3 linked regions of the Kluyveromyces lactis genome follow. The protein of the gene in region 3 binds, or shares a complex with, the protein of the main gene of each other region. Links are inferred from orthologs where the notes say so. Each region holds a gene or a part of one and is shown on either strand. Other genes may lie near its edges.

Evidence for each region.
Region 1: the proteins of RAD53 (region 3) and ASF1 are in contact, whole or in part, in a crystal structure (PDB 2YGV), measured with the Saccharomyces cerevisiae proteins. The link is inferred for Kluyveromyces lactis from reciprocal best matches to the Saccharomyces cerevisiae genes RAD53 and ASF1. Residues at the interface, in NP_015172.1 of Saccharomyces cerevisiae: Val803, Lys804, Arg805, Ala806, Lys807, Leu808, Asp809, Gln810, Thr811, Glu816; in NP_012420.1 of Saccharomyces cerevisiae: Phe28, Asp37, Glu39, Asp58, Ser59, Ile60, Leu61, Val62, Gly63, Pro64, Val65, Pro66, Val67, Val69, Asn70, Lys71, Phe72, Val73, Ser75, Asp77.
Region 2: the proteins of RAD53 (region 3) and RAD9 are in contact, whole or in part, in an NMR structure (PDB 1K2N), measured with the Saccharomyces cerevisiae proteins. The link is inferred for Kluyveromyces lactis from reciprocal best matches to the Saccharomyces cerevisiae genes RAD53 and RAD9. Residues at the interface, in NP_015172.1 of Saccharomyces cerevisiae: Arg605, Asn616, Arg617, Leu618, Ser619, Arg620, Thr654, Asn655, Ile681, Trp682, Asp683; in NP_010503.1 of Saccharomyces cerevisiae: Val600, Glu601, Leu602, Thr603, Gln604, Glu605, Leu606.

What each region holds. Positions count from the first base shown.
Region 1 is NC_006041.1:1,330,518-1,333,465, forward strand, and holds ASF1 (nucleosome assembly factor ASF1), read right to left. Parts: upstream 1,412-2,948; coding exon 578-1,411; downstream 1-577. Other genes in the region: KLLA0_E14917g (uncharacterized protein), read right to left, coding at 1,861-2,948. UniProt on the Saccharomyces cerevisiae protein: Histone chaperone that facilitates histone deposition and histone exchange and removal during nucleosome assembly and disassembly. Facilitates histone deposition through both replication-dependent and replication-independent chromatin assembly pathways.
Region 2 is NC_006042.1:1,205,703-1,209,872, reverse strand, and holds the start of RAD9 (chromatin-binding protein RAD9), read left to right. Parts: upstream 1-1,304; coding exon 1,305-4,170. Other genes in the region: ADY4 (Ady4p), read right to left, coding at 1-476. UniProt on the Saccharomyces cerevisiae protein: Essential for cell cycle arrest at the G2 stage following DNA damage by X-irradiation or inactivation of DNA ligase.
Region 3 is NC_006042.1:1,025,660-1,029,789, reverse strand, and holds RAD53 (serine/threonine/tyrosine protein kinase RAD53), read left to right. Parts: upstream 1-1,219; coding exon 1,220-3,661; downstream 3,662-4,130. Other genes in the region: DNA replication protein SLD5, read right to left, coding at 3,934-4,130. UniProt on the Saccharomyces cerevisiae protein: Controls S-phase checkpoint as well as G1 and G2 DNA damage checkpoints. Phosphorylates proteins on serine, threonine, and tyrosine. Prevents entry into anaphase and mitotic exit after DNA damage via regulation of the Polo kinase CDC5.

The sequences.
Region 1 (2,948 bases), on a different chromosome or scaffold from region 3:
CCAATTTCCGGGTAATCTTATTTACCTCATAATATGTCCCGACGTTGAGTAACTCATCCTTGACTACAATGCTGGCTAAAGGACCCATCCATAGTCCAAATATACAGGGATTGAACTGCTGTGAAACTGCTATTTTAGAGAGATACCACCTTATCAACTGCTACTTTTGGAGGGTTTACTGTTTTCCCAGCCGGATTGACGATAAAAACGGTAGGATTTTCTCTTTTCGGTATGGGGAACGAAAAATGTACTTTTTCAGAAATTACGGGCGTGTGGCGTAGTTGGTAGCGCGCTCCCTTAGCATGGGAGAGGTCTTCGGTTCGACTCCGGACTCGTCCATTTTCTTTTTTGTCTTGAACGACAACATTGCATTCGAAGCGTATAAAGACCTTCCCTCCAAGCTAGTAGTTGATGCAGTCTTGATTTTTTGGACGCTTCATCGACGTGAGGAAGAGTACCGGTTTGTGTTGGTCAGCAATGTTACAAACGGGATTGAAACGATACTTATGAAAGGTATATAAAAGTGCGTTAATTTGGGAGGCCGCCGCGGGAGGCCAGGACGTGGAAACCGTTACTATTATTTGTGTTGGGTAGTATCCTGCGGCGTAGGCAAATCTGCATCATTCTCACTATCACTTTCTTTTTCTAAGTCTATCTCTTCCGCTTCTTCCTCGTCTTCCTCGTCTTCTTCAGGTCCCAAAGATTCCGCTTGCGATTCACCCTCGTCGTTCTTAACGTCAGAAGCAGTAGATTTCTTTGGATCCCTTTTCAGTTTCTTCTTTTCAGGAGCAGTTTCCTCACCTTCACCATCATCTACATCGTCTTCTTCTGCAAGATCTTCTTCAGCGTCCTCATCTGCCTCTTCATCCTCATCCTCATCCTCCTCCTCTTCTTCCTCTTCCTCAGGCTCTTCTTGTTCCGGAGGATAGAACTCTTCTTCACCCTCATTATCCCAAACGATATTAAACCTAGTAACTCTTGGTTTCTCAGCAAGGATATTTCTCACCACATGATCAATAGGCACTTTCTGAGGTGGGTTCTCTCTCAATTCTTCCAAATCGTATTCGTTGTTTACGTAGTACCCAACCCTTACAAACTCTTTACCATTATAAGAGCACGATAGTAAAATCACAGTAACACTGACCAATTCACTAGCAGGAATCAGATCTGGTGAAGGTGCATCTGCCACGAATTTGAACTTGTTGATACCAACGGGTATAGGACCCACCAGGATAGAATCCAATTCTTGATCATGGTCAAGTGATCTAGAAGAACCAACATACGTCAATTTCCATTCCAAATCGTGTTTTAATGGCTCAAGACATTCAAAAGTGATTTCAAATTCATAAGGGTCTGTGAACTTGGCTGGATTGTTCAATACCTTGATTCCTAAAAGTGATACAATAGACATGACCGAAAAACCGCTGTAACTAATATAATGATCCCTACAGTAACTCTCCCGATGCCTTGATACGTAGTCACTGGATTAACAAAGCTTGTTCTTAGAGCAATGCTTTTGTTAAGGTTATGTGATGTGATGTATAATCTTTTTTTCTATCTTTATATTGAATAGTTGAAAAGTTTAAAAGAAAGCGCGTCGCGTGAAGTTTTCAATCAGACAAAGAAAAAGACCGGTAGGAGAGAACGTTGAATCAACAAGGGCTGCTGTAGGTTGATAACACTCTAACAACAGTAGCTCGATAATAATACGATCAAAAGTTTTATTGAATGAAACAAAAAAAAAAAAAGAGATATAGAAGTGAATATACATACCTTATGTAAAATTGAAGTTCAAGGTGAAGGAAGATGCAATGTAGAGGGGAAGCCGCAGCACGGCCATTTCCCCTTCTTTTTTTTTTGTTACACCGTCAACGATGTATAAGTATTAGATTCTTGTACGAATTCTTGCGACAAAGGTCTTCCATTATTGAGCGAGCCATACGATAGCACGGCCGCAGAGGAAGTAGACGATGATGGTGAATGAGAGCCATCCAATTCAGAGAGAAACTTCGAATCGTGAACCAAAGATTCTTCAAAGTAGTAGATGGATGCAGAAATGCGTACCACTCCGATGGTTAGCACTATGAAACCGAACACAAGCCCTGTGTATAAAATCTCGGCTGTATGCGGTACCAATGAATCGTGATAGAACATTGTACTGTTCAAGATTGTAGTCAAATTATAGATGGAGAACACAAACGGATAAAGGATCGATGTAGAAAGATGAGAAAGCCCTGCGTTCAACAAATACAACTGAGTCAACGAGAAAGTTACCAATACCAAAACGAGCAAGACCATATGTAAAGAGATGGACCATTCAGTAACGATAACGTTCGACACGCATTTGGCAATGAGTAAAGCATGAGCTGACCATATACCACTAGCAAATACAAGCGAAAACCCTTTGACACGTTTCCCGACACCGAAAACACCCACCACAATAGACATGATAGCTAAAGCGTTGGTACCGACAAAATAACGAATAAATTTTTCACTTTGAGCCAATTCGCACAACTCTTCAAACGTATGCGTCAAAGGAGTGTTTATGAACATACATGACATTGAAGCCATGATGGTACCACCAGCACAAACAAAACCAGTGGGAATCAGGGGGAACGGTTCTCGTAGAAGCATATGGGAAAATAAAGAGTTGAAAACCAGGCCAGATGCCTGTAAGGGAGCCAATACGATCAAGGGCAAAGTAGCTATTTGAATGACACAACCGAATAAATTAGCCAAAAGGAAAAGCGAAAACCCCAATTGCCATCTCTTATTCCTATAAACGATTGATCTAGGTGGTACCTTCAGTTCAGAATGAAGGGAAAGAAGTTCCGAATTATTGTAGTGGAACATTTCAATACATTCAGCTTTCCGTTGGAAAACGAGTCCTAATGCCTGTAAGGCATTAGCCACGATAGCAGCCACGACTCCTAGCAGAACCACGGGGG
Region 2 (4,170 bases), about 180 kb from region 3:
TGCTTATTCTGGATGTCCTGTTGTGCAGATATTACACTGCTTGAATTTTCCAATATTGTGTATAATATGCCTTTGAACATGTCCAAACGATTCACCCTAACCGAATTGAAGGACACGTATTTTACCCTTTTCCCTTGATTAAAATCTAAATTCAAACATTTTGCCAGATAAAGTGAAGTTTGTCGAATTATCCATGTTATCCGAGACGAGGAAAGGTCTGATCGCTTCTCACTGTGACGCTTATTTTTAGAGACTGAAATGAACTGTAGAATCCAGCGGAAAGAGAAAAAAGCGGTCCCATATTCTTCATCTAGAAGCTCGAAGAATGCTTGAATAATTCTGAAGTTGATGATAATGTTTGTCTTCCATCTAAGAACAAAATGATCATCTGCATATCTAGCACATAGATTATCCGACATATAATTTGCATCCACTGTAAAATCAATATCGGGATTGTGATCAAGAATACCCTGCATTATAGAAATGATACGCTGTTTGCTAATATTACCATTTTGGAATCGTTCTTTCACAAGATTTAAGGGAATGAACGAGAGTATGATATCCACAAAGTCGTCCCATACTTCCGTTGAATCTTTGATTAGTTGCTTGGCTTCAAGCGTCTTGAGACATTTTTCCAATAACGACTCAAAACAAAGTAGAACATCAACATATGAACCTAATAGTAGATGACATTAGAGTTAGTATTTACCATTCAATCGTTATCATTGTTAGCTTTCATTTAATAATGTCACTTACCATTACATTTCGAATTTTTGTCGGTCATGATATCACAGTTATTGTTGCCGACTAAAGGGTGCTAATCACGAGAAGCAAAATTATGCTTGCTTAAGGCGAGGATCATAAAAGCTACACCTCTTGTGTTGGTATATATCGTTTGTGCCAACAACCAAAAAATGCATTCTAAAAGGTTCACTTCATGTGTGTCTGACACCCATCGATAGAAAATATCATACTTTTCCTTAGAAGAACCGAAAATCAATTCCTAGAATAGCAAACCTGCAACCAGTGCTATACTAGCAACTCATATACTAATACCCTGAAGAGATGCGACCGGCTATGGATACATAATAATAAAACTCACACATCGCACAGTTGACTCTTTAATGTCTTAGTCTTTAACAACTACAAATGTAATATTGACAGAAAATCATAAACCAAAACAAGAAAGTTTACAGTATGTAACGCACAACTAACAAAAGTTATTAAACATTCGATAAAAATACGGAGCCAAAATATCACTTCATTCTGAACCATCAATATCAGTATCTGCTGTTTCATATGGTATGACAGGAGACGAAGAAGACAGTGGTATTACCAAAGAGACTCCCAATTACAGTCCAGATCGAAAACAGCTATCGAACAAGATAGAGTCTACTTCCTCAGATGAAATAGTGTTAAAAGAAAATACAAGCACCCGAACGCTCACGGGAATTAACAAGGCTATAAAGGCTTTGGGTAATACTGCTCTCAATTTAAATCCAACGAATAAATCCCTGTTAGAAGACACACCTGAGGGAAATCGAGATCTCGAGATTAGACGAAGAATTGATATCCAATCAAAGACTGATGTATTGCAACGATTTCAGGAGAAAGACTTGAATATCGAAGTGGAATTACCGTTTGATTTGACTCAAACTAAAGGTATTCTTTTGAATAACAATGACACATATCAACCTGAATTATTAGACACGCCATTAAAGAATAAGATATCGATTCGCTCACTTAGGAATGCTAAAGGTGAAGTGAAGGCAGCTTCAGAACCGATCAGCTTGATTGAAAATATCAACTCGTCCCCAGAGGGGCATCCACAACCATTTATAATGACACTGAAGGATGCAGATAATGGTAATATCTTGGGTGATATTGACACTCAAAATGTAACTCAAACATCTAATGAAATGTTAGTACCTGCAACGAATTCAGCTAATGTAAGTCAAACACAAGAAATCAGGTCTACATTGGCCGATGAAAAGATGACTCAGCTAATTAGAACTCAGTCTAATAACCTCGATGTCTCAGAGAGCTTATTGAAACTAGATGAACAGTCTGCACTTCAAGAGACATCAATAGTGCATACATCTCCAATCAATTTTGGCTCATTTCATCACAGTCTTCTTCCTTCTACCAGAACTATATTGACACAAAAGGAAACAGGTTCTAATTTCAACGAAGAAATCCAGTTGGTTCATTCTCCAGCGGTCGTTAATCTCCGACCCATGCAGCAGGCCTCCAATAAATCACCTTCAACAGTATTTAGTGAAGAAGAAAGAGAAGAAGAAAAAGAAGATCAGGAAGTAGCCAAATGTCACTCGTCTATTGAGATGAACAATGAATCTTCTCAGAAGGAACAAACAGATGAAAACTCGAGTGAAATGAAGTTTAAACTCACATATTATGTCAAACCATCCAGTCAGATATCCGACGAGGATGAACAAATTGGGGGTGTCCGGAATGATGCTACCGATTTGAACCAACGTAAACACAATGAACATAATCCTACGAATGATGTCTCAAGAGAGCTCTCGAGACTGGATACAGATCAGGAATATGAACAAACTCAGGAACTACCTGAAATTTTCGAACGCAATGAGTGCAAGCACAAACCGTCATTTGAGTCACAAGAACAACTTAATGTATCCAAGAAACGGAAAAACAAGCAGCTAATATTAGAAGAAGAATTTGAAGATAGTAGTACACCAAGTAAAATGACACAATTTACAGCTTTCACTGAAGGTGTCTACCTGCCGAAAGAACTTCGTATATCAGATGAAATGCAGTTGACTAAAAAAGATGTTTTATTCAATAATGCGGTCTGGTATTATTTTAATGATTGCAATTTTTATCCTGGTAAGATACTTTCCGAACAGCGTACGAAGCCTGGGTATTGCTCCGTTCTTTTCGAGAAACGTCAAAATGATGTTAGGGTGGAAGACATTTACTATTTAGATATTAGATGTGGAGATAAAGTCCACTGGAAGATGAATGAATATCAAGTCGTAGCTTTAGATTGCCAGATCCCACAAAAAGAAGATGTCATTCGATGCATTAGAGGATATGATACGGTGCATTTAAGAAAGGTACTGAGAAACGGAAGACTCAGCAAGAATGATATTGTAGATACCATTGCATCCATATACGTTACCACCGGGGAGTGGATCAAACGAACCAAAATAAAACTGGAAGATGAAGACAATGATCCTTTGGATGAATTGAGACGTTCTGTTAGAAGTCGATCAGTGAGGGATTCTATTTCTCCTATGAAGAAAACCGCTCAAGATTATAACAAGTCAACTTCAGAGATTTTCAGAGACACTTTCTATGATACTACTATAATGAGTGGATTAGAAGGACAGGGAGGTTCTGTTTTCGAAAAGTGCATCTTTGTATTGAGTGGACTTAATGATATGGATAGAAAAAGGTTATCTTATCTAATCGAGATACAAGGAGGATATGTCTCCAGCGTAGGGTTTGAAAGTCTGTTAAGATATGAAGACAGATCAAGAGAGTTTAGTTGGAACAATCCACGTTTTAACAGTTACCGTTTTGGTTGTCTTATTGCGGGAAACTTTTCAAGAAGTCCGAAGTATTTAGAAGCATTGGCTTTGGGATGGCCTGTACTACATTGGAGGTTTATTGAGTCATGCATAAACAAAGGTTATATCTCGACTCAAACGATACTACAAAATCTTTTGCCGAGCGGAGAAAGTAACAGGTTGATGGCTGACTTCAATCTAGGTATTATCAAATCAAGCAATGTTTTTAGTTTCCTGACAAACTTCAATAGCAGTTTGACTTTAGATGCACAACTAAACAATGCCAGAGTAGTTTTGGAAGATTACTCGATATTGATTTTAGGAGACTCCGATATGAATTTTTTCGTGGACTTCATTTTCCAGGTGTTTAAAGTTGGTCATTGGGAATACACGAAAAACTTGAAGTTGAAACCACAGCAAGAGTTGGACGATGATCTGTTCGACCAACTTGTAGAATTTCGGCATAATTACCACAGTAAGAAGATGATACTTTTCATCAACGAGACGTCTTTGCAGAACTCATCCGACTGGGAAAATAGCATTTCTAAAAGGTTCCTGATGGAGGGTATAAATGATTTTAGGATCAAAAATAAGGAATGGCTGGTTCAGACCGTAA
Region 3 (4,130 bases):
TATTATGTAGAGGAATGCATCTTTCCTATACAATGTCCAATTTATGAACTAGTAGTAAATATAAATAGACTTCAAAATCTGACGCGAAAGACTACTGAGCCCGGCTCTTGTATTTAAAGGGTTTCCTTGGGAAAAACTAACGGATGTAGTAGACTTTTTATCCAGTCCTGATTCTGGGAACAGGTCATTTAATTAGCAGATAGAATGGTAAGAAACTTAACATAACGTTATGGAGGTATGTGAGATTAATAATTTACGATTTTGTTATTTACCGTAACATTACGGTTAAAGTTGACGGTATGATTTGAACCTTCACCAGTAGATCAAAGCTGATATATAATTTTACTACATAGCTATCTCGTTGAAGGACATTATTGCAGTATTAATAAAACGAAAACTTATATATATCATTTCTTCAATCGGTTATGGGGAATTGTCTTAACGAATGTTTTAAACATGAATAGAACCTAGTTTTTTCAAGAAAAGGCTCTAACAGTTCAAATACAATAACGTTATATGAGCAAAATGCAAAGAATTTCTGAAAATTCGGAGTGTTATGCTTGATAGCAACCATATCGATTTATAATCTTTACTTCCATCTATTGATAAGTAAAGATTTTAAAGTCTTTGTAGCATGACTGGAGTTAGAATAAGAAACAGCTGATACAAGTTATTCAACCATGGTATTTACTAATTGATGCCATATGGATTGTTGCAGTATAAACCGGCTTCACATAGTTCTGAAGAAGATTCGGCACCAATCACCTGATGCCGCAATGTGCCATAATAGAACTTCTATCAATGATTCCGTTCTATTTACTCAAATTCCCACTCCAACGTTGTAGCAGTGCCGAGTAAAGACTGATCCATCTTTGATCATTGGCTTTGTATATATGTATGTACTTTTACGCGTCATTGTAATATTTAATGTTCATCGAATATTTACGCGATTTAAAGGTTGACATTTTTCTGAAATAATCTGGATCTTTGAATTGCAAAAGCGATCATACACATTATGAAAGAACGATTTATTCCATTATTCATTAGCTTTGTGTTGGCAGTTTAGTGGGTATACACAGTCACAACCGACTATAGAATAGCACACTTGTGAAAATCGTTCTATATTGAGGCATTAAGTTGTCCCTTTGAGGTTTGCCGTTACCTTTCCCAGCCTCTTTAGAGATCAACTGATCATTGCTGTGCAAACGAAGATATTGACATGGATGATATAACGCAACCGACACAACAAGCCACTCAGGCTACACAGAAGTACCTAATAGATAAGTTTTCTCAGGAGAAAATAGACGACGATGTGGTGTGCAGAGTAATATGTACAACTGGTCAAATAAGTCTACGGGACTTGAAGGTTCAACCTGAAAGTATATTCAAAAAGGAATCATCAATTAAAAAAACATGGACCTTTGGAAGAAACCAAGGATGTGATTATTATCTGGGGGATATTTCAAGACTGTCCAACAGACACTTTATGCTAATGCTGGGTGAAGAAGGAACTTTAATGCTGAAGGATACATCAACCAATGGAACATGGTTAAATGGAGCGAGGATACAAAAGGATACGAATCACATCTTGACCCAAGGGGATGAAATAAGTGTTGGAGTCGGCGTTCCCAGCGATGTCGTTAGTTTAGTGATTTTCATCAACGATAGTTTCAAAAATAGACTAAAAGAACTCAATATGATGAAGGATGTGACTTCACCTGCTTCATCTTCAAAGAGCAAATATCAGATATCAATGGGACATACAGAATTAAAAGGAATACACAAATACTATTCGATATCAGATTCGATTGTTGGTCAAGGTGCTTTCGCTACTGTGAAGAAAGCTGTCGAAAGGTCAACAGGCAAAACATTTGCGGTCAAAATAATTCATAAGAGAAAAGTAATGGATAAATTTGATGGAGTGAAGAGGGAACTAGATGTATTGCAGAAATTAAATCACCCCAGGATAGTTAAACTTAAGGACTTTTTTGAAGACAATGATAATTATTACATGTTGATGGAGTTTGTCAGCGGAGGCGATTTAATGGATTTCGTAGCAGCCCATGGAACTGTAGGCGAGGATGCCGGCAGAGAGATAACACGACAGGTTTTAGAGGCAGTAAAATACATGCATGATCAAGGAATTAGCCATCGAGACTTGAAACCTGATAATATAATGATAGAGCAAGACGATCCAGTTCTTATAAAGATAACCGATTTTGGCCTGGCAAAAGTACAAAATCAGAATACATTCCTGAACACTTTTTGTGGTACTCTAGCATATGTTGCACCTGAAGTTATAGACGGGAAAAATGCTGAAGATAAAACTAATCGAGATCTGTATTCCTCACTTGTTGATATGTGGTCAATTGGATGCCTAGTTTACGTTATTCTTACAGGTCACTTGCCTTTTAGTGGTCAGTCTCAGAATGAATTGTTCAAGCAAATAAAACGGGGCTCTTATCATGAAGGACCATTAAAGGATTATAGAATATCCGAAGAGGCAAGAAACTTCATAGATTGCCTGTTGAATGTGGACCCTAAAGAAAGAATGAACGCAGGAAAGGCCCTGCAACATCCATGGATGAAAATGGCATACGTTGATAGCATGCAGTCACAAATATCCATCTCACAATCCTTGTCCCAGCAACAATTTGTTGACAGTATGAATGAGGCTGAATACGAATCATACATTGCGAAAAAGAGGTTAGAGATTATCAAGAAAGAAATAACGGCGCCTGCTGCAGAAACTAATAAAGAGCCTGTATTCAAAAAACCACAAATTGCACCATCTAAAATTGCACAATCCCAAAACTTGCAGTTTAACTTTTCAAATCCTAATACTGGTAAAGCTATTAATGTTAATTATAAATCTGGTGAAGAAGGACTTTCAAACAATAAGAACAAAAAGATCAATAGACCACTTACAAAGGTCAATGGGGAGGGGCTATTTCTCACTTTGCATTCCTTACCTGGCTCATCTATTTCAGGTAAGGTCCAAGTAAAACAAGGGATAAATCCATTCTTCATCGGTAGGTCAGACGAATGCAACTGTAAAATTGATGATAATCGTTTATCTAGGATACATTGCTTCATATTGAAGAAAAGACACGCTGTCGGTGACAGTATTTATGAATCTCCAGCTCAAGGTCTTGATGATGTATGGTATTGCCAAAGTGGTACTAACTCAAGCTATGTTAATGGAAAGAAAATCACTCCGGGCACAAAGATCTTACTTCATGATGGCGATGAAATCCAAATTATATGGGATAAAATCAATGATGTCACTGTTTCTTTCCAGCTTGAGTTCAATGATACCACTGGTTTGTTCCACGAGGGGAAGCTGGATACCAATGAGAAAACAAACAAGACACTTCTACATAAACAGACACAGGAGGAGTTAGCTTTAGTCCCTAAGTTTATGGAATTTATGAAGTCTAGATCATCACAACATGCCAAATCTAATATAAACCAGTCCTCTTCCAGTAACATAGATGCCAACTCGCAAAATATCGAGGAATTAGATTCTGTCGTTGAGATGAACTCGACTACAGGATTGAAAAGAATACATTCAGTGTCGTTATCTCAATCTCAACCGCAGACAACCAAAAGGGCTAAGCTTGCCCAAGCCCAGAAACCAGATATTGAAGGATTTCTCTGAGCTGATCATATGCTTGCCGGATGGGTTTTGCATACAGTAAATATGAAAAATAGGTACACTTTGAGTATGCTAGATAGACTTTTCAACGTTAATTGATGTAATACTAATACAAATTGGTTCAAAAGCACTATAGACCAGCAGTCAATAACACTAGGTAGAAAACATGCTGTGTTCGCAATAACATTGTTGAGAAATTATTGCTGGCAAACATTCGTTACAAACCTATATTTTTCGAAGAGTCATAGGTTCAGTAATACTGTTCAGAATTTTCATTATATTAAAACTACTCGTCCCTCAGTCATGAGATCTCGTATTACACTATAACGTATTACGTATACTGCCCCGATTAATAAGTAAATTTCTTCATTTAAATCTTCAATAATCACTGAGTAACAGTGTTTTCCATCATCATCGGTCGTTAATTTCGAATCAATACCACTTTCGTCAACTACCCCACCACAAACTAGTA